Linked DNA regions of Oryctolagus cuniculus. The main gene of each other region encodes a partner of the protein of the gene in region 2 in a complex. Links are inferred from orthologs where the notes say so. Each region holds a gene or a part of one and is shown on either strand. Other genes may lie near its edges.

Region 1 (9,828 bases), on a different chromosome or scaffold from region 2:
CACCAACCTGCATTGAGACCTGGATTGGGTTCCTGACTCCAGATTCCTGGCTTCCGCCTGGCTCAGCCCCAGCTGCTGTGGGCACTTGGAGAAATAAACGGTGGGTGGGAGAACTGTCTCTCTCTGCCTTTCAAATACATTAAAGTATTCCTGTGTATTAAGGGTGTGTAACCCCCAACTGCACTGGCTCACCTCCTAAGAGATGAGCACTCCTGGCCTCTCCTACCGAGCAGTTACCTAAAGGGGGCACGTTTGGGGACACGAGGCCCAAATGGGATCCCAAAAATACCACTTTCCGGTAGGAAGGTCCACAGAGGAATTGGAAGGAATTCCAACAGTGTCCCCTAGACGGTTCTTTTTGTCAATCTTTTTTTTATTAACACCAGGAATGCAGGTTTTTGTCCCATTGTGAAGCGACACATCAGAAAATGCAGTCTGAAAGCAATGTGTGTATTGTCCCAAGAGGGAGGTCGGTTGGTAATTTTTTTGGGGGTGGGCTTACATTATTTGACTTATGAATACGTGTGGAACAAAATTCAAAAGGTATCCATCCAATGTTATCATCCCCATTTCCGCAGCAAACTGGCTTCTCCCAAGACAACCACCATCACCAGCTTATACTCTCCTCCTGAAGACAGCCCACGTTGGAAGTGCACTCCTGCAAACATGGTTTTCCATCCCCTTTTCACTCATACTGAGGACTGCTCCATCAACGCACTGCAAGTTGCCGCGCTCTCCCTGCGGGGAGGCCTCGTGGCTGTTCTCCAGAACCCTAGGGCTCTGGCACTGTTTTGCTGCGGTGAACAATGCTGGAAGGAACACCCCAGCACACACAGCACTTCACGTCATCACCAGTTCTGGAGGATGAACACCCAGCAGTGGAGTCGTCACGTCCGAGGTGCACCTGACACAGCCCGTTCTGGAGGGCTCACTTCCATGTACACCTGCCAGGCACTCGCCAAGCTGGGATTCTATTTCCCCATGAGTAAGGGTAAGAGTCTCATGTGTTAGTCACTAACTTACGCTTCTCTGGAGCTATTTCTACCATTAGCCTATTTTAAAAATGAACCTTTTTTCCTTAACTGCCAATTTTGCAAGTTCTTTATTGTTACAAACATCCTCCCTCCCCCATATTCTTGCTATGCAAATTTTTAGGTATTCTCCCCTCCCACACTGGTGTATTCTAAATCCCGTGTTTCTTTCTCATACGCTTTTATTTTCATTTTCTTGCACTCGAATCTTTCAGCCGCCCAGATCACTAGGGCTGCAGTGAAGCAGGGATCCAATCTGATTCTCTTCTTTCAAATGGCTACTCTGTGATGAACTGTTTCCTCAAAGTTTTTACTGAGCAAAAAAGTACCGCTGTGCTCCAGGGCAGGGCTGGGGGACCTTTCTTCTGCCAGGGCCATTTGGATATTTACATCATTTGTGAGCCGTAACAAAATTACTAACCTAAAAGTTGGCCTGCTTTAGATTAAAAAATAATTTTTTTTGACAGGCAGTTAGTGAGAGAAACAGAGAAAGGTCCTCCTTCTGTTGGTTCAACCCAAAATGGCCGCTGTGTGGCGCCGATCCAAAGCCAGGGGCCAAGTGCTTCCTCCTGGTCTCCCATGGGGTGCAGGGCCCAAGCACTTGGGCCATCCTCCACTGCACTCCCGGGCCACAGCAGACAGCTGGCCTGGAAGAGGGGCAACCAGGACAGAACCCGGTGTGCCGGTGCCGCAGGCAGAGGATTAACCTAGTGAGCCGAGGTGCTGGCCTCAAATTTTTTTTTATAAATTGGTAGTTTATTTTTGTACATATATATGGGGTGTAGTGACTTTTTTTTTTTTTTTTAAAGATTTATCTGAAAGGCAGGCAGAATTACAAAGAGGAAAAGGCAGAGAGAGATCTTCCATCCACTGGCTCACTCCCCAGATGGCCACCAACAGCTAGAGCTGTGCCAATCTGAACCCAGGAGCTTCCTCTGGGTCTCCCTTGTGGGTGCAGGGGCCCAAACACTCAAGTCTTCCTCCACTGCTTTCCCAGGCCATAGCAGAGTTCAAGTCGGAAGTGGAGCAGCCAGGACTAGAACCATATAGGTTCTATACCATACCCATATAGGATGCCAGCACTGCAGGCAGTGGCTTTACCCACTGCACTGTCCTCTCACTGAAAAATTTTTTTTTGACAGGCAGAGTGGACAGTGAGAGATAGAAAGGTCTTCCTTTTACCCTTGGTTCACCCTTCAATGGCCACTGTGGCTGGCACACCCCGCTGATCCGAAGCCAGGAGCCAGGTGCTTCCTCCTGGTCTCCCATGCTGGTGCAGGGCCCAAGGACTTGGGCCATCTTCCACTGCCTTCCTGGGCCACAGCAGAGAGCTGGCCTGGAAGAGGAGCAACCGGGACAGAATCCGGTGCCCCGACCGGGACTAGAACTCAGTGTGCCGGCGCCGCAAGGCGGAGGATTAGCCTACTGCAGTAGAGCCGCGGCCCCGGCCTGAATTTTTTTTTTTTTTTTTTTTTTAGAAAAGAGCCATCCTCCACCGCTATCTCAGGCCATAGCAGAGAGCTGGATCAGAAGAGGAGCGGCCGGGACTAGAACCAGCACCCATATGGGATGCCGGCACTGCAGGTGGTGGCTTTACCCACTGCACTGCCCCTTAAAGAATTTCAAGTCCATCCTGCAGTTGCCATGGCAATACCAGATCAAAGGATATTCCCCATCCCCACTCTAAGGTCTGGGACCTGATAACAAGTTAACAAGAATCATAGCTGAATGCAGGTTTTATTAATAGAAATTTGGGGCTGGCGCTGTGGCATAGCAGGTAAAGCTACTGCCTGCTGTGCCAGCATCCCATATGGGCGCCTGGCTGCTCCACTTCCAATACAGCTCTCTGCTATGGCCTGGGAAAGCAGTTGGTGGTTAGGTTGCTATTTGGGATACCTGCATCCCACGTCACAGTGCTTGGTTTAAGTGCCATTACCTAGCTTCTGATTCAGCTTCTGGTGTGTATACTGCAAGGAAGCAGATCATGGCCCACGTGTTTATCCCCATGCCACCCACATGGGAGACCTGAATGAAGTTCTGGGCCCTTGGTTTTAGACTGGCACACCCATGGTTATTGCTGACATTAAGGGCTCCAGCTGTTGTGGCCATATGGGGAGTGAACCAGTAGATGGGAAGACCTTTCTGTGTTAATTCTCAAAAAAACAAAAACAAAACAAACAAACAAAAAACCATTCATAGGGTACAGCTGGTTTGCTCTAGATCACCATCCTTTATTGGTCTTCCAAGCAATGTCTTTAAGATCTTTGCTTATTTGTACTTTTGCAAGCCTCTGTCCACTCTGCACCTCAGGTTGTTTGACAGCATAGCTTCCAGAGCCACACTACTTAGATCTTCATTTGCTCTCAGCCCGAAGGCAAGAAGTGAGGATCTGCCTAGATCTCCAGGCTTGCCAGTTACCAGCTCTGTGACCCTCAGACAAGTCACTGTTTCAGATTCCCCCTCACAAAACAGGGAAAACATTATCCATCTTACAGGGCTGCTGTGAGGATTAGTTTAACATACACAAAGCACTCAGAACACACCTGTTACATGCTACCTACCATTCTACCAAGTCTTCAACTTAAAGTGACTAAGTCCTGTGGCCAGGGAGGAGATAAGACTGAATGTATGAATCATAGGGACAAAGGCCCAGTAGCCCAAAGGACAGACTACGAATAAATTAAAGGCTGGCCCCACACAGTACATTGCTCATCTTTGTCCCCTTGGTAAAAACAGCAGAAAATGAGATTCAAATGCTTTGTTTCAGCTAGCAGGGAAGACAGAGCTGACTGTTACACAATCCTGGCATGAGAACATGCTAGCAAATTAAAATATAGATTAGGAAGAACACTGGGAGAATGTAGAGCAAAGGAGCTACAGGTTAAGGTCGGGAAGATCGTGGAAACAACAAAATACAAAAAGAGATGCTCTAAGTCTTTCTGGACATAAGCCTGAGCCCTGGCACACACGGGGTGTTGCTCTACATACAATCGCAGCTGGGGAACACCCTACATCTAGACAGGTTCCTCCTGTTCCTTGGGTGCTCCTAAAGCTTTATACTGTCGTCCTTTAAATTCCGTAAGGATCTTCCCAACAAATTGACTGAGACATGTGAAAAACCCCATCAAGAAGACTTAATGACTTCACTCCAGTCTCCCTTCTTCCTCAGTGTGCTTTTCTGGCTCCTCCCTTTTTGTCAGGAGGCAGAGATACGACCAAGGTTGAAAAACACATAACAACTATCTCAAATGACTTAGATTTAATCATCGGAAGCAAACTAAATGGAAAGCTTACAATAGAGAATTACATGTCAGTGCCTTTTGCAAACTGAGCTGGGACAGAAAGGGCCTGGGGGCTGCCCCTCAACCTGATCCCTTCCGAACAAAGACATCCAGTGTCCTGGGCACGCTGGCGCAGGAGGGGGCCTCCGCTGGCTCTCTGTGTTGAGGTTGTCCTGTGCACCACTCACTCCTGGCTAGCGTCAGGAGCCCCACCTTGCCGGCTTTGGTCATCGCCCTTCTTTTTGTGACCTGAGACGATGTCATCGATCCGTAGCAGCAGAACTGCCGTCTAGGAGAAAAAACCACACCCCCAAGAGGTCAGCAGAGAAGGGAAAAGACATGTTCTCTTTCAGACAGTATCACCCAGCTCCTCCCAAAGAATTTCCATTTTCTCTGAATCCTGCCTCTTCCCAGTCTTTAAAAGGCAGCTCCCCCTGAGCAATGCAGCTCGTGCTGCTGTGTGTGCTTCAGCTGAGTAGGGAAACGGAAGGCCTTGGGAGACCTCTGGGGAATACTCTGCCTTCTGTAACCCCTCCCTTCAAGACTGGTTTCTGGTGATCCCAAAATAAACCGCGTGCACATGTCCTCGGGAGCCTTACTTCCACTGCTGTCTTATACGTCTGCAGCTTCACAGCCAGGGGCTCCCATATGCCCAGCTCTTTCATGTCCACCAAGGTACCCGTCTCACCATTCACACCCCAGGTCTCACAGTTCTCCTGGGTGTGCTTGGCCTGCAGTTGAAACAAGCAGATTGAGTTCAAGTAGTGAGCAGGGAACAGGAACATTAGATAAAAAACTAAACCAAAAATACTGGATTGACATGGAAACAGCAATGAAAGCACACACAGATGAAAAGGAACAAACTACAGGTGAACAGAGAACCTTCCCCTCCTCACCAAAACAGCATGAAGAGGAACTCACCCGAAGAGAGGTAAGTAGACGGATGGTGCTGGCCCCGCAGTTCTGGATCAGGGTACGGGGGATGACCTCTAGGGCCTGGGCAACAGCCCTGTATGGCCACTGCTCCACGCCAGTCATGGCCTTGGATTTTTCTGTCAAGGCGTGGGCCACAGCCATCTCAGAGGCCCCACCCCCTGGCACCAGCTGGGGGTCCAGGAGAACATTGCGGCACACCTGCATGGCATCCTGGAGGTTGCGCTCTACTTCCTTGGGGAAATAAACAGACAGTATGAAGCCAAAGCGTGCTGACTCATAGAGGAATAGAAACACCAATAGATTTCCTAGATGCTAAGGTTAGCAAATCACCAAGGAGGGTAACCAGAAAAGGTCCTTGAAGTCCTACTGGTCAAGGCAGAGGCTAACTACCCAGGAAGAATGTGTAATTCATGACTCCAAGAGGGCAAGGGTCGGGAGGTGTCATCCCAGCTGTGAAGTCAGGGCTCTGTTACGCTGCACAGAATGACACTCCGTCCCTCCCTAGTTGCATCCTTTAGGAGGCTGTATGGTGTAGTGGAAAGATTCTCTTATGGATTAGGGATGTTGTCTTTGGGAAAGTTATTTTGCCTAATTGAGGAAAAAAAGCAGTATTGATTATTTCTACTTAAAAAATAGGCAGTGGTTGCATAGAAGAGCAAACGGCAAGTCGTACTCAGTAAATGTAGGATCTGGAGATCCCTTGCACAAGAATGTGAACGCAGGGTGAGCACCATGGCACAGTGGGGCGAGCCACCACTTAGGCTGCCTCGTTCAGTACTGGAATACTAGGCTACTCTGCTTCTAATCCAGCTTCCTGACAATGTGTCTGGAAGGCAGTGGATGATGGCCCAAGATCTTCCATCTGCTTGTTCACAGCCTCACCCCCCACCCCATTTGCCTGCCAACAGCCAGGACTCAATCAGGCTTAGGCCAGTAGCTTGGAACTCCAAGGGTGGCAGGGGCCCGGGCATTTGAGCCACTGTCTGCTGCTTCCCAGGATACATCAGCAGGAGCTGGGTCACGGGTGGACATGGGTGTCCTAAGCTGCAGCCTGGCCCACCGTACCATAAGGCCTGTAAATTTTAAGTTTTATGTTTTAAACCATTAAAATTTTTTTTTTTTTTTTTTAATTTTTTATTTTATTTTATTTTTGACAGGCAGAGTGGACAGTGAGAGAGAGAGAGACAGAGAGAGAAAGGTCTTCCCTTGCCGTTGGTTCACCCTCCAATGGCCGCCGCTGCAGCCGGCGCACCGCGCTGATCCGATGGCAGGAGCCAGGATCCAGGTGCTTCTCCTGGTCTCCCATGGGGTGCAGGGCCCAAGCACCTGGGCCATCCTCCACTGCATTCCCTGGCCATAGCAGAGAGCTGGCCTGGAAGAGGGGCAACCGGGACAGAATCCGGCGCCCCGACCGGGACTAGAACCCGGTGTGCCGGCGCCGCAAGGTGGAGGATTAGCCTATTGAGCCACGGCGCCGGCTAAACCATTAAAATTTTTAAAAATTAGTTTTAAAAAAAGGAGTGGGGGAGCTGGGGTCAGTGTTGTGTAGTAGTGGGTAAAGTTGCCGCCTGAGATGCTGGCATCCCATATGGGTGCTGGTTCGAGTCCTAGCTGCTCCACTTCCGATCCAGCTCCTTGCTAACAGTGGAAGACGGCTTAAGTGCTTGGGTTCCTACATCCACGTGGGAGACCTGGATGAAGCTCCTGGCTCCCGGCTTCAGTCTGGCCCAGTTCCAATCATTGGGGCCATTTGGGGAGTGAACCCAGTGGATGGAAGGTATCTCTCCTTTTTTCCCTTTGTAATTTGCCTTACAAATAAATAAATCTTAAAAAAAAAAAAAAAAAAAAAAAAGGAAGCAGGGAAGTTATTTGTGGTTACAGAGACAAATCAAATAGCTACAGATGGGCAACAGGTGCTTTCTGCCCTCTGGGAAACTCTCGAGAAGTGCAATGACCTCCTTCATTTGGTCCCACTTCTTAGGTGGACTCACCGAGAGAATCTCTTTGCTGGCTCCCCTGAGGAGAATTGTGCAGGCCTTAGGGTCCTTGCATTCAGTGATGAATGTAAAATACTCATCTCCAATCTTCTTGATTTCCAGTAGGCCAGCTCCCGTTCCAACATCATCTTCTCTCAATTCCTCTGGTCGGCTGACTATCCGGGCCCCACAGGCTCTATTGGAGGGGGGGGGGGGGGAACCAGGCAACTTGAACTACTTTTTAACCATCTCCCTAGTCCCTAGGATCTGTATGTGGGAATTAGGGCAAAACTGGATTATCAGAAACATCACTTGAGGGGTCTTGGCTGCCTAGCAGAAAGGGTTTATAACCATATAAAGGCAAACTTACTTAAATGAGTAGGCTTTATTAAATAAAACCATGTATATACCGAAGGTTAATAATCATCACTACTATAACCAAATACGAGTATCTGGAAGAATGAGTTCTCATGCATATCTAACATGCACATACCACACAATGGTCATGTCTACACAGAACTGATCCCACTCCCCAGCTGGGTCCTGAGGTCAGTTACAGGATTGTTCCGAAGAAGAGGTCAAGGTCACGCAATGAAGGTGAATTAAGTACCTAGTCTGACCCAATTTTAATGAACATACACTGATTTTTTTTTTTAACTTTTTTTTTTTTTTTTGACAGGCAGAGTGGACAGAGAGAGAGAGAGACAGAGAGAAAGGTCTTCCTTTGCCATTGGTTCACCCTCCAATGGCTGCCGCGGCCGGCGCACCGCGCTGATCCGATGGCAGGAGCCAGGAGCCAGGTGCTTTTCCTGGTCTCCCATGGGGTGCAGGGCCCAAGCACTTGGGCCATGCTCCACTGCACTCCCTGGCCACAGCAGAGAGCTGGCCTGGAAGGGGGGCAACCGGGACAGAATCCGGCGCCCCGACTGGGACTAGAACCCGGTGTGCTGGCGCCGCTAGGCGGAGGATTAGCCTAGTGAGCCGTGGCGCCGGCCTCATACACTGATTTTTTAAGTGTAACTCTCTCCCCTCAATTCCTGTGCAAGTGGAATCAACTCTTCATAGAACCCAAAGTCATTGCAGAGCAAGCAGAAGAATGAAATTCAGTTTGGACTGTGACGCACTGTGCGATGTTCGGACAGACTTTTCGGTTTCTTAACAGATTAGTATTAAAAGTGGATGGTGTATCCGAGTATAAACAGAAGTAGCAAATGCAACCTAGAGTCCCATTAACAGCAGCTGAGGATCTAGTCACAGAAACGGATGGTTCTGCTATATTCTGAGCCAGTTAAAACAGACTACTCTGGAAATTCATCCACACTCATCACGGTGACAGTGAAGAGAAGGACTATTTGACAAGTAGCTATTTAGCGACATAATGGATACTTATACCAAGGTAGCGATTACAGATGTCTAAGCACAAGCTGCTCACTCGTGGTTAGGCACATTACAGAGGAGACCCATGCAGTGGGTAATTGCTGGACTAGAGGACTTCTGAGGAGGGCAGACAGTTAAATCCAGGTTATTTCTCCCTGTCATTGTAGTCTGTATTACACCTTCTCAGGTAATGACTCCATTATACAGCCACAAAAAAAGAAACCCACCCACGGGAAGGCTCTTATTTTTACCTGGCTTACTCACCTAGCGATGCGATTATTGTCTGTCTTCCGGACTCTGCGGATGGCTGTGACATTGGCCCGCATGAGGTAGTGCTGAGCTAGATCTGCAAATCCAACAGCAGGCGTCAAGCTGGATGCCAGAATTCTTGGGTTTATCCTTAAAGCGCTCCACCACACAACCAACACGGGGAGTAAGGAAGTTCACGCACCCTCTCCCACCCCCAGGCAGGCTGGGGCCCGGCGCAGCCCTACCTGAGATGCCCTTTTCTGTGATGACCACGTCAGGCTTCAGCTGGATAATGTCCTCACAGAGCTGCTGGATGTACTCTTCTTCCATCTGAAGAATCCGGGTGAAGTCCTCCTCTCGAGTGATCTCAATGTCAGTCTGTTTGGTTGAGTAAGAGTCCTCTGATTTAAAAATCCCCGCACTGACAAGGCCCTTCAGGGTCACCCCAACTCCTACACTCCCTGCACCCACAACTCCCATACACCCCAGGAAGTAAGAGTCAGAGTAAGGGCAGATCTGTGACCTCACACCTCTGTAAGCCACTTTCACTCCAGCTGTCACCCAGTTTAGCGCCTGCATTAAATTATAAAGCAACCAGAACACAAAGTCACATAGCCATCAGTGGTGAGTTCAGCTTTTTTTTTTTTAAAAAGATTTAATTTATTTGAAAGGCAGACTTACAGAGAGTTAGTGAGAGATCAATCTTCCATCTGCTGGTTCACTCCCTAAATGGTCAAGGCTGGGCCAGGCTGAAGCCAGGAGCCAGAAGCTTCTTCCTGATCTCTCACATGAGTTCAGGGGCTCAAGTACTTGTGCCATCTGCTGCTGCTTTCCCAGGCGCATTAGCAGAGAAGCAACCGGGTCTCGCACCAGTGCCCACACTGGATACTGGTGTCACAGGCAGTGGTTTAACCTGCTACACCACAATGCTGGCCCTCAAGTTTGGCCTTCCTAATGTCTCTGACCACCCAATTCAGT
Region 2 (10,133 bases):
TCTCCCAGGCGGGTACAGGGGCCCAGGGACTTGGGCCATCCTCCATTGCTTTCCCAGGCCATAGCAGGGAGCGGGAACAGAAGTGGAGCAGCCGGGTCTTGAACCAGTGCCAGTATGGGATGCAAGCACTGCAGGTGGCAGCTTCACCTGCTAAGCCACAGTGCCAGCCCCAGACACTCAGGTTTTCAACAAGATCACTTGAGGAGGGAGGGGCCTAAGTGAGGGGCAGCCCGCAGCGTGGGAGAGACTGGCCCACCTGCTGCAGAAGTGAGAATGTTTATCAGGTGTGTGGAGAGCCACCTGCCCAAAGTATGTGGTTCTGAGTGAGCGGCTTCTGTAAGCAGCACAAAATCGCTTTCGAGGGAACACGTTTTAAAAGCAGACAACAAGGTCACAGCACGTTGAGAAATGCTTTGGCAAAATCAGAGGTCGTGAGCTAACAAAGTGGAATTTAAAGCCAGAGGTAATAAATGACAAAATCTAAACACTAAAATAGACTTTTATATCTCTCATAAAGAGCCTTTCATACCTAGCACAAGTTTTCTTTTTTAAAAATAATGTTCACTTTTTAAAGATTTATAAACGTATTTGAAGAGTTACATAGAGAGACAGAGAGATCTTCCATCCTCTGGGCCCATTTAAGGTTAAGTAAGGTTTACTTACACCTGGCCCATTATCCACTGCTCTCCCAGGCACATTAGCAGGGAGCTGGCTCAGAAGTGGAGCAGCCAAGACTCAAACCGGTGCTCACAGGCGATGTTGGCATCACCGGCATTGGCTTCACCTGCTACCCCACAATGCTGGCCCTCAGGACAGCTTCCCTGAAGCCCTTCTGCACAACAAGGCGGTGACTGCTGACCTGCACGCTGGGCCTGAGAATGTGAAGTGGGGCTGGCGACGAGGCAGGTGTGGGTATCACCTCTGTGCGTCCACAATGCACACAGCTTCTACAATGAGCAGATTCACAACCTATCAACACACACCTTCTCTTCCACAAGGAGATCGGAATCCATTGCCTTTTTTTTTTTTTTTTTTTTTTTTTTTGACAGGCAGAGTGGACAGTGAGAGAGAGAGACAGAGAGAGAAAGGTCTTCCTTTGCCGTTGGTTCACCCTCCAATGGCCGCCGCTGCAGCCGGCGCACCGCGCTGATCCGATGGCAGGAGCCAGGATCCAGGTGCTTTTCCTGGTCTCCCATGGGGTGCAGGGCCCAAGCACCTGGGCCATCCTCCACTGCACTCCCTGGCCATAGCAGAGAGCTGGCCTGGAAGAGGGGCAACCGGGACAGAATCCGGCGCCCCGACCGGGTCTAGAACCCGGTGTGCCGGCGCCGCAAGGTGGAGGATTAGCCTATTGAGCCACGGCGCCGGCTGGAATCCATTGCATTTAATTATACAGTCTTAACCATTTCAATTCTCCCAGTATTTCCTCTCGATTTTCCGAAACCACTGAACCACTTCTCACCAATCACTTAAAGAAGGGCTACTTAGCACTTCCTGTAACCTTCACCCCAGAGAACTAGAAGCCGGGACATAGGTGTTCTTGTCTGCTTCCCCATCTACGAGCTTCTGCTTGTCTGTGGAAGAAAAACGCAGTGCTCAGTGCCACATCTCATCACCTGTCAGATCACTAAGCTGTGAAGCAAACAGAACACACAGAGAAGTCTTGGGGCCAGCTGTGCGGTGTAGTGGGTTATGCCGCCACCTTCAACACCCGCATCCCATATGGGTGCTTGTTCAAGTCCCAGCTACTCCACTTCCAATCCAGCTCCCTGCTAATGCACCTGGGAAAGCAGTGGAGGACAGCCCAGGTGCTTGGACCCCTGTGCCCACATGGGAGACCCAGAAGGAGCCCCTGGCTCCTGGTTTCCACCTGACCCAGCCCTGGCTGTTGCGATCATTTGCGGAGTGAAGCAGCAGATTGAAGATCTCTGTCCCTCTTCCAAATAAATCTTAGGAAAAAAAAAAAAAGAAAAAAAGGAAGTCTCCAGAAACTGTAGGAACTTGCGAGTCAGACATATTCCAAATCACAATCCTAATTTTAGGAGATGCTTCTTCCCTTAAATCAAGTTCACTTCGTAAGTAAAACAGCTGCCTGGGTCCCGGGTGCTGGCAGCTGGTGAGAACTCATTAGCCAAGGCCATGGGCACTGGGGCCTTTGTGTGGTCCAGTGAAGGGCCTCATTCTGGTGTGGAAGCAAGGTGAGGAGGCCTAGCTTTCTCTCGGATCAAAGTGGCACTGGGAGTATCCAGAATTAGATTCTGCAAGGCCCCCCAGTGGAACAAGCCTGCAGGTCCCCACCACTGTGAACACCGGGGACTTAAGTGTTCATATCACGGCTCTCAAAACGTGCAGCATCCAACTTCCCTGCTTTGTTCTTCCCCAGCATCACAAGACTTAGGAAGGGAGCCGGCTCTCCTATAAAAAGCTGACGGAATTGGTGCACGTGTGACAGACCCAACCCAGCTGGTGCCAACTCTGCAAGTAAGATTTCAGGAAACACCCTTCGTGGTGAGCCATCGCTGCACGTTGGCATCAGCCAGTTCTGATGTATCCAACGAAATAGCACTAAGACAGACACTTCTGATAGCTACTGGTAAAATGGGCCACAGCCACTGTAATTCAGTAAAGCAGAGCAAAAATTAAAGTCAATATAACCTGAAAGAACTCTGTGCTGATTCCTAATTTTACGACTCAAACCAGCACTAAGACTATATCGTTCAACACAAACCAAGGGATTTGTCAATTTGACAAGAAGTGATAAATGCTAACTGCATTTTGGGTCACAAAACACCCTGATGTGGGGGCCGACGCTGTGGTGCAGCGGGTTAAAGCCCCAGCTTGCAGCTCCAGCATCCATATGGGCGCCAGCTGGAGTCCTGGCTGCTCCACTTCCGATCCGGCTACCTGCTGATGGCCTGGGAAAGCAACGGAGGATGGCCCAAATGCTTGGGCCCCTGCACCCACATGGGAGACCTGGAAGAAGCTCCTGGCTCAGCTCCTGCCATTGTGGCCATCTGGGGAGTGAACCAGTGGATAGAAGACCTCTCTGTCTCTACTTTTCTCTGTAACTCTTTCAAATAAGTAAGTTTTTGTTTTAAAGATTTTTTATTTATTTATTTGACAGGTAGAGTTACAGACAGTGAGAGAGAGAGACAGAGAGAAAGGTCTTCCTTCCGTTGGTTCACCCCCCCAAATGGCCGCCACGGCCAGAGCTATGCAGATCCGAAGCCAGGAGCCAGGTGCTTCCTCCTGGTCTCCCATGTGGGTGCAGGTCCAAGCACTTGGGCCATCCTCCACTGCACTCCCAGGCCATAGCAGAGAGCTGGATTGGAAGTGGAACAGCCAGGACTCGAACCAGCACCCACATGGGATGCCGGCACTGCAGATGGCAGCTTTACCACTATGCCACAGTGCCAGCCTCTAAGTAAGTTTTTAAAAAAAAATCCTGTTGTGTTTTTTACTGATTGAATTTATTTATGTGTGTGCTTCTATCTTGCTTATTTCCAAAATATAATTGAATGCGGCCTTTTATAATAAGGTCAGCTGGCATCTCAATAATCTGAGGTGAACATTAAGTAGAAGAAACATTTAACCAAAGAAATGTAGCAGCAGATTGAAATCCTTCAGGGGCTGGCGCTGTGGCATAAAAAGCCGCTGCCTGCGGTGCCGGCATCCCATGTGGGCGCCGGTTTGAGTTCTGGCTGCTCCACTTCCGATCCAGCTCTCTGCTATGGCCTGGGAAAGCAGTAGAAGATGGCCCAGGTCCTTGGGACCCTGCACTCACGTGGGAGACCTGGAAGAAGCTCCTGGCTTCAGATGGGCCCAGCTCCAGCTATTACAGCCATCTGGGGAGGGAACCAGAGGATGGAAGACCTCTCTGTCTCTGCCTCTCTCTGTCTCTGCCTCTCTGTAACTCTGCCTTTCAAATAAAAGAAATAAATCTTTAAAAAAATAAACGGTGTGCAATATTTCCATGGTATAATTTATTCACTTTTATTAAAAAAACACACATTCCTTTATATCTAGTTGTATGTTAAAACATAGTGAATAACTTTATGACTTCCTGAAAATATATGTGAGGAAAAACAGACATTTGTCATACCAACAGTAGGTATTAGTTTAAAAAGATAGTTCCAATAATTTAATAAAATTCCAGCAATGATTATTTCTGAAATGTAAAAGATTTGAAACATAATTATAAAAGGTTAAAAACCAAAAGGATTCACTCCTGCTTTTTAAAAAAAACATCCAGACAGTTTGTCACGTCCAGGAAGTTCGGCAAGTGATAGCGGCTGCAGCCTCAGTCACCCTCGGAATCGCTGTCCCTCCTGGCGGGGACAGAGCACCGCACCGAGGACAGCAGCACGTCTTCGATCGGCTTCCTGGGGTTCTCCTCCAGGTCTGTCTTGATCGCCCCGGACTTGGCCAGTTTCCACTCCAACTCTACATGATCGAGAAAAAGCCAATCACATAAGGCTCCCCTCACCCTAAGTCCATCAAGCTGCGGTTTTCCTAAGCAGAAAATATAATCTCAAAATCTGATGACCAATTTAATGTTTTTGCCAAGAAGAAAGCGAAAAAAAAAGGTAACACCTTGGGACCAGTGCTGTGGAGTAGCAGGTTAAGCTGCCACCTGCAGTGCCGGCATCCCATATGGGCACTGGTTCGAGTTCCGGCTGCTCCACTTCTGATCCAGCTCTCTGCTATGGCCTGGGAAAGCAGTAGAAGATGGCCCAAGTCCTTGGGCCCCTGTACCCACATTGGAGACCAAGAAGAAGCACCTGGCTCCTGGCTTCGGATCAGTGCAGCGGCCGTAGTGGCCAATTGGGGAGTGAACCAACGGAAGGAAGACCTTTCTCTCTGTCTCTCTCTCTCTGTCTATAACTCTACCTGTCAAATAAGTTAAAAAAAAAAAAAAAAAAAAAGTAAGGAATCAGAGACTCGGCCTCTGTGCTTCCTCACTCCCTCTCACCCGTGAGACTCACGCAGCCCGAGACCGCATGTAGCCAAATCACGGGACGGATTTCTCCGGGCAGAGAACATCTCAGGCAGAGCAGAGGGACTGCCCGAGAGATTCCATAACCAACGGCTTGGAGAAGGTGGATCAGCGCAGAGAGGCTCTGCCAGCCAGGTCCTTCTAACCAGACCTCACACCCAGCCTTACTGCAGTCGCGTGACTTTAAAGCGCTCCGTGAAACAGAGCACCGAGCGGCAGCTACCAGGGCTCGGGGTAACAAAGTCTCTGATAGCCAGGTGGGCAAGTTCTGGAGAGCGAGGCACAGCATGGCGATGCAATGCACTGTGCACCTGAACCGCGCCAGCATGGTGACCTGCAGCGTCCTCACCAAAGTGCAAAGGAGACTGCGTGAGGAGCTGGGCGTGGCAACGGGCTGGACCGTGCTGCCGGTCTCACACGGTGTTCCCATTTCAGATCCTCGTGCTCTACAGCTTTAATGTACACTTTTTTTTTTGGGGGGGGGGGGGTCAATCGTACCTCATTAGTGGTGTGGGGAAAGGTGCTCCATGGAGATAAATACCATCAGTAGTTTCAGCTCTACATACCTTGGTTTACCATTCTGAAAATTCGACAAAATTCATTTTGAAAAATTTAAGATTTCTGCTTCTTAAGAATATGTATCTTGGGGCTGGCACTGTGGCATAGTGGGTAAAGCCGCGGCCTGCAGTGCCAGCATCCCATATGGGTACCGGTTCGAGTCTTGGCCGCTCCATTTCTGATCCAGTCTTTGCTATGGCCTGGGAAAGCAGAAGATGGCCCAAGTCCTTGGACCCCTGTACCCATGTGGGATACCTGGAAGAAGCTCCTGGCTTCTAGTTTTGGATCAGCCCAGTTCTGGCTGTTGCGGCCATTTGGGGAGTGAACCAGCAGTTGGAAGACCTTTCTCTCTCCGCCTCTCTGTACCTCTGCCTTTCAAATAAATTAAAAAAAAAAGAATATGTATATTTATATATCCACCATACATGAACAGGTATGTATTTAATGACACTGTTCACTCCCCATGTGACTACTGTTACATACAAGGTCACTAATCCACAAGTCAGTCTTTGTGTGGCAACAGACTACAGCTATGATCGCATATTGCTGTGGTTTAGATGTGGCTTGTCCCTGCCAAAAAAGCTGCAATTTGGTTGCCAGGGTAGCAAGGTTGGGAGGCGGGCCCCTTAAAGGAGATACATACTCTTCTGGAGAAACTGAACTGGTTTTCCCAGGAATGGATTTGTTCTCGAGAGCAGGTTGTCACAAAGCAAGCCTGGCACGTCCCTGGGTCTCTGTCCCACACAGGCCTCTGCTTCTCTGACATGACAGACACAGCCCAAGGCACTCCCCAAAAGCCAAGCGCATGCCTGTGCCACTCTCCTGGGCTTCCCCACCTCCCAAACGGGAGCTGAGTGAGATACACGACTTTCCTTCAGATGTCACTCAGCCTGGGGTACTTTGTTAAAGAAACAGAAAATAGACTACCATGCCAATCTCCATGCACAGTACATTCAAAAAAGGTCAAAATTAGGTTGGAAGACCTCTCTCTCTGCCTCTCCTCTCTCTGTGTAACTCTTTCAAATAAATAAATAAATAGGTCAAAATGAGATGCCAGCATGCATTTGAAACACTATACACCTTTCAACACTGGAATGACATATAACAAACATGTATGAGATGCATGTTTATACTTTTCCCAGTGAACTATTTTAGTGGTGTAATATATAAAATGTTGAAAATATTTTTGAAGACTATTCAAGCATGGTTGGACACAGTCCTTGAGTAGAGAGAATTTGCCTCTGGCCTCAGGTTCTCTCATTAAGCATGGATAAACACTTTGCCATCTCCATGTGTAACACATGGGAAGGAATTTTTTTTAATCCTTCCAGAGTTACAGGCAAAAATAAATAAAGTTTAAATTGAAAAGCTACTAAGGTACTCAACTGAGAAAATATTTCAACAGAGAAATATACATACATATGAGGGCTTCAAAAAATTCATGAAAAATGTGTATTATGAAAAACTATACAAGGGTCTCAAAAAATCTTTTTGCACCAAAATAGATTTATCTTCTAATTTTATCATACCACAAACTTTTTAGACTGAACTCCTATGTGTCTTCAACAATACGTTGATGTGAGCAAAAAATGAATGTTATATTGGGCTACACTTAAAAAATATTTAGCTGCAGGGCCAAATAAAGTATATTTGACATTAACGTTAAACATGTAGCTAGGTTCTCTGTGTCTTCCTTTGAGAACTGCTGCAGCCCCGCTGTGACTGCTCCTAACTAGTTGCTAAGACAGGAGACCAAATGCACAGCTGCCCACATGGCAACACCCGGCCAGCAAACAAGCACTCTCAGTAACAGAAAAACCCCCTCCCCGGCCCTCATACGCCCCTTACCATCTCGAGTCAAGTTCATGCCGCCGAACACCAGTGGGCCAACAAACTGAGCCTTGATCTCGCCTTCCAGGTACACGAATACCGTGGGCAGATTCCTATCTGGATAATTGGGTATGCAGGTTGTTGAAATGGCTTTGATGAACTTCACATCAGGAAACTTCCTGGCAAGTGCGCTGAAGTGCTGATTTATCAAGGCACAGAGGGGAATCCTGGAACACACAAACAGAATGCAGAGGCACTGGTGATTCCACTACCGGCCAAGACCAATCAGCACTTCCTAATATGTCCATGTGAAGTGAAGAACTTGAAACCCAAAGTCCAATTTCATTTGATACAACAACAGCTCAGGAAAACAGTGTCAGCATAAAAGACAACTGCTATGGCCTTCCATAAGGTCGAATGAGAGAACACCAAAGATGCAGAATGTGTGAAACAGGCCAGAACATATTTCCTGCTTTAAGGAAATGCCACAAAAAGCACTGGGCTCTACAGGTTAGGAGCAGGACTGAGCGTGGAGGGAGGCTGGAGGCCCTCAGCACCACACGGCAGACAATGGCTGGGAGGTCACCTTCTCTGTCTGCAGGAACCATGAACTATAGAATTTGGAATTGCCGGAGTCCCAGGAATTCCTTTTCAGTGAAAGCAAACTGACTCTTCAACTATACTTTTTTTTTTTTTAATTTGAAAGGCAGAGTTATGGATAGAGGAGGAAAGATGGAGAGAGAGAGGTTTTCCATCTCTGGTTCACTCCCCAAATGGTCACAACGGCCAGGGCTAGGCCAGGCTGAAGCAAGGGGCCCAGTGCTGCTTCTGGGTCTCCCACATGCGTGCAGGGGTCCAAGCGTCCAGGCCATCCTCTGCTGCTCTCCCAGGCGCATTGGCAGGGAGCTGAATCAGAAGCAGAGCAGCCGGGTCTCAAACTGGCACCCATTTGGGATGCTGGTGTTGCAGGCGGAGGCTTAACCCACTATGTCACAACGCCAGCCCCTTCTTTGCTATATTTTTACAGAGACAATTGCATTGAGTCACAGATATTAATTTGGTAGTCAAGATAAAAATTAGGCATTAAAGCTTTAGTAAATGAGCAACAAAAACACATAACACTAATAAACAACGACAAATACCAGAATATGGAATAAGCTTGATATGGATTCAACATATAAATTAAAATTCACATGTTCTAGAACACAAAAGATGATCAGCTCACCCTTGTTTGTAAAGGTGCAAGATTACCCACAAGCCCTCACCAGCTTTGGTAACTTCTTGGACATAATCTTTTCCTGAAATCTCCAAAACTTCTCCAAATTTATTCTTTTCTTGAGTTGCTCTCCACTCGGCCAGTCTTTGCTGCCTGGACAACAGACAGAGAAAATATCTTCTAACACATGCACATATGTACGCATGCACAAATACACACACAAATAGCCATCTTCCACTGCCTTCCCAGGCGCATTAGCAGGGGAGTTGAGTCAGAAGTGGAACAGCCAGGACTCTAACTACCACTCATATGGGATGCTGGCAATACAGGCAGTGTGGCTCCATCCACTGTGCCACAACACCAGCCCCCAGAAAAGTAAATTTACAATGGATGCACATTTTACGGTATGGTAAAAATTACCACGCAAAAAACCTAAACGGTCCCTCTGAGTGGCACTAACCTGTACATTTCAATAGCACGTTCATCCTCTTCATTGAATTCGTCTTCATTATCTTCCAGTTCTTCCAATGTCATATCTTCATACGTCTTCACTGAATTTAGTTACAACAGCCAAAGCAAAAAAAACAAAAATTCAAGATGAACAAACATGCATTTTGGGTATTCCCCTTCGCTTTTCTCCTAAAGGTAAGCACACAATACCAGCAGGCCCCAGCTCACCAACATAAAGATTACTTACATCTCACTAGTGAATAAGACGTGGGGGGTGTTTTAAAAAGAAAAACCTGTGCGGACACCTACAGACGGGAGCATCTCACCCCCACACAGTGAGTGGATGGGTGAGAAATCTCCCAGGTTTACAAAGCCCGAAGTCCCCTGGTCGGGCATATCCACTAGCGGCAGGTGTATCAACAATTCTACTACCCAAGGAGTCGGGGTGATGGCAGCAGGGGACCTTCCCACACACACTTTCCTGGAGTTAAAGGTGACCGTCATGTATTTCTTGGCCATGTCTTCTGTGTGGCAGGCAACTCTATCCTTTCTTGTAATGAACTGGTATAAAATCAGCATCTCATTTTTACTGTCACTCCTGCTTGACAGCAAACCTGGCTTTCGCTGTGCCTCCAACAAAACTCTCATCCAGGTCAACAACCTCATTCCCTGATGACGAGCGGCACCTGATCCAAGCCGTCCCGGCCTCCCCTGGCTTCCAGGAGGCCCCGTTCTCCTCCTGCCCCTACAGCTGTGCCCACTGTGAACCTTCTGCTGATGACAAGTGCTCAGGGTTCAATTCTTTGACTCAGCTTCTATGCCTGCACCCTCAGTGACTACTCCTAGGGGCTTTGTGTGTTTTCGGTACACTCACAACTCCTAAAGTCACATCCCCAGCTCACACTTCTCTGAAAACACACCCAACCACCTGCTTAGCCCCTCTACTTGTTCCGTGAGACTCTCAAAGTTAACATGTCCCAAACAGAGTCTCCATCTTCCTGCAAACCTGCTCCTCTCCAAGCCTTCATCTCAGTTGGTGGCAACTCCACCCTTCAGGTTGCTCAGGCACTAAGGCGTGCAGTC

The links.
Region 1: the proteins of PDCL3 (region 2) and CCT3 are in contact, whole or in part, in a cryo-EM structure (PDB 8I6J), measured with the Homo sapiens proteins. The link is inferred for Oryctolagus cuniculus from reciprocal best matches to the Homo sapiens genes PDCL3 and CCT3. Residues at the interface, in NP_076970.1 of Homo sapiens: Glu66, Ala70, Met73, Tyr74, Arg75, Arg77, Arg78, Trp82, Leu182, Pro212, Lys213, Ile216, Glu217, Asp218, Val219, Arg226, Leu229, Met230; in NP_005989.3 of Homo sapiens: Met47, Pro53, Met54, Val58, Met59, Thr60, Asn61, Asp62, Ala65, Arg68, Glu69, Arg167, Ile258, Glu261, Phe264, Leu268, Gln269, Glu271, Ser297, Asp298, Leu299, His302, Ser380, Glu382, Ile383, Arg389.

What each region holds. Positions count from the first base shown.
Region 1 is NC_091438.1:42,410,136-42,419,963, reverse strand, and holds the end of CCT3 (T-complex protein 1 subunit gamma), read right to left. Parts: intron 9,229-9,828; coding exon 9,096-9,228; intron 8,948-9,095; coding exon 8,866-8,947; intron 7,421-8,865; coding exon 7,240-7,420; intron 5,480-7,239; coding exon 5,234-5,479; intron 5,044-5,233; coding exon 4,912-5,043; intron 4,602-4,911; coding exon 4,497-4,601; 3' UTR 4,276-4,496; downstream 1-4,275. UniProt on the Homo sapiens protein: Component of the chaperonin-containing T-complex (TRiC), a molecular chaperone complex that assists the folding of actin, tubulin and other proteins upon ATP hydrolysis.
Region 2 is NC_091433.1:108,016,005-108,026,137, forward strand, and holds the end of PDCL3 (phosducin-like protein 3), read right to left. Parts: intron 9,152-10,133; coding exon 9,061-9,151; intron 8,754-9,060; coding exon 8,610-8,753; intron 7,612-8,609; coding exon 7,403-7,611; intron 4,444-7,402; coding exon 4,301-4,443; 3' UTR 3,969-4,300; downstream 1-3,968. UniProt on the Homo sapiens protein: Acts as a chaperone for the angiogenic VEGF receptor KDR/VEGFR2, increasing its abundance by inhibiting its ubiquitination and degradation.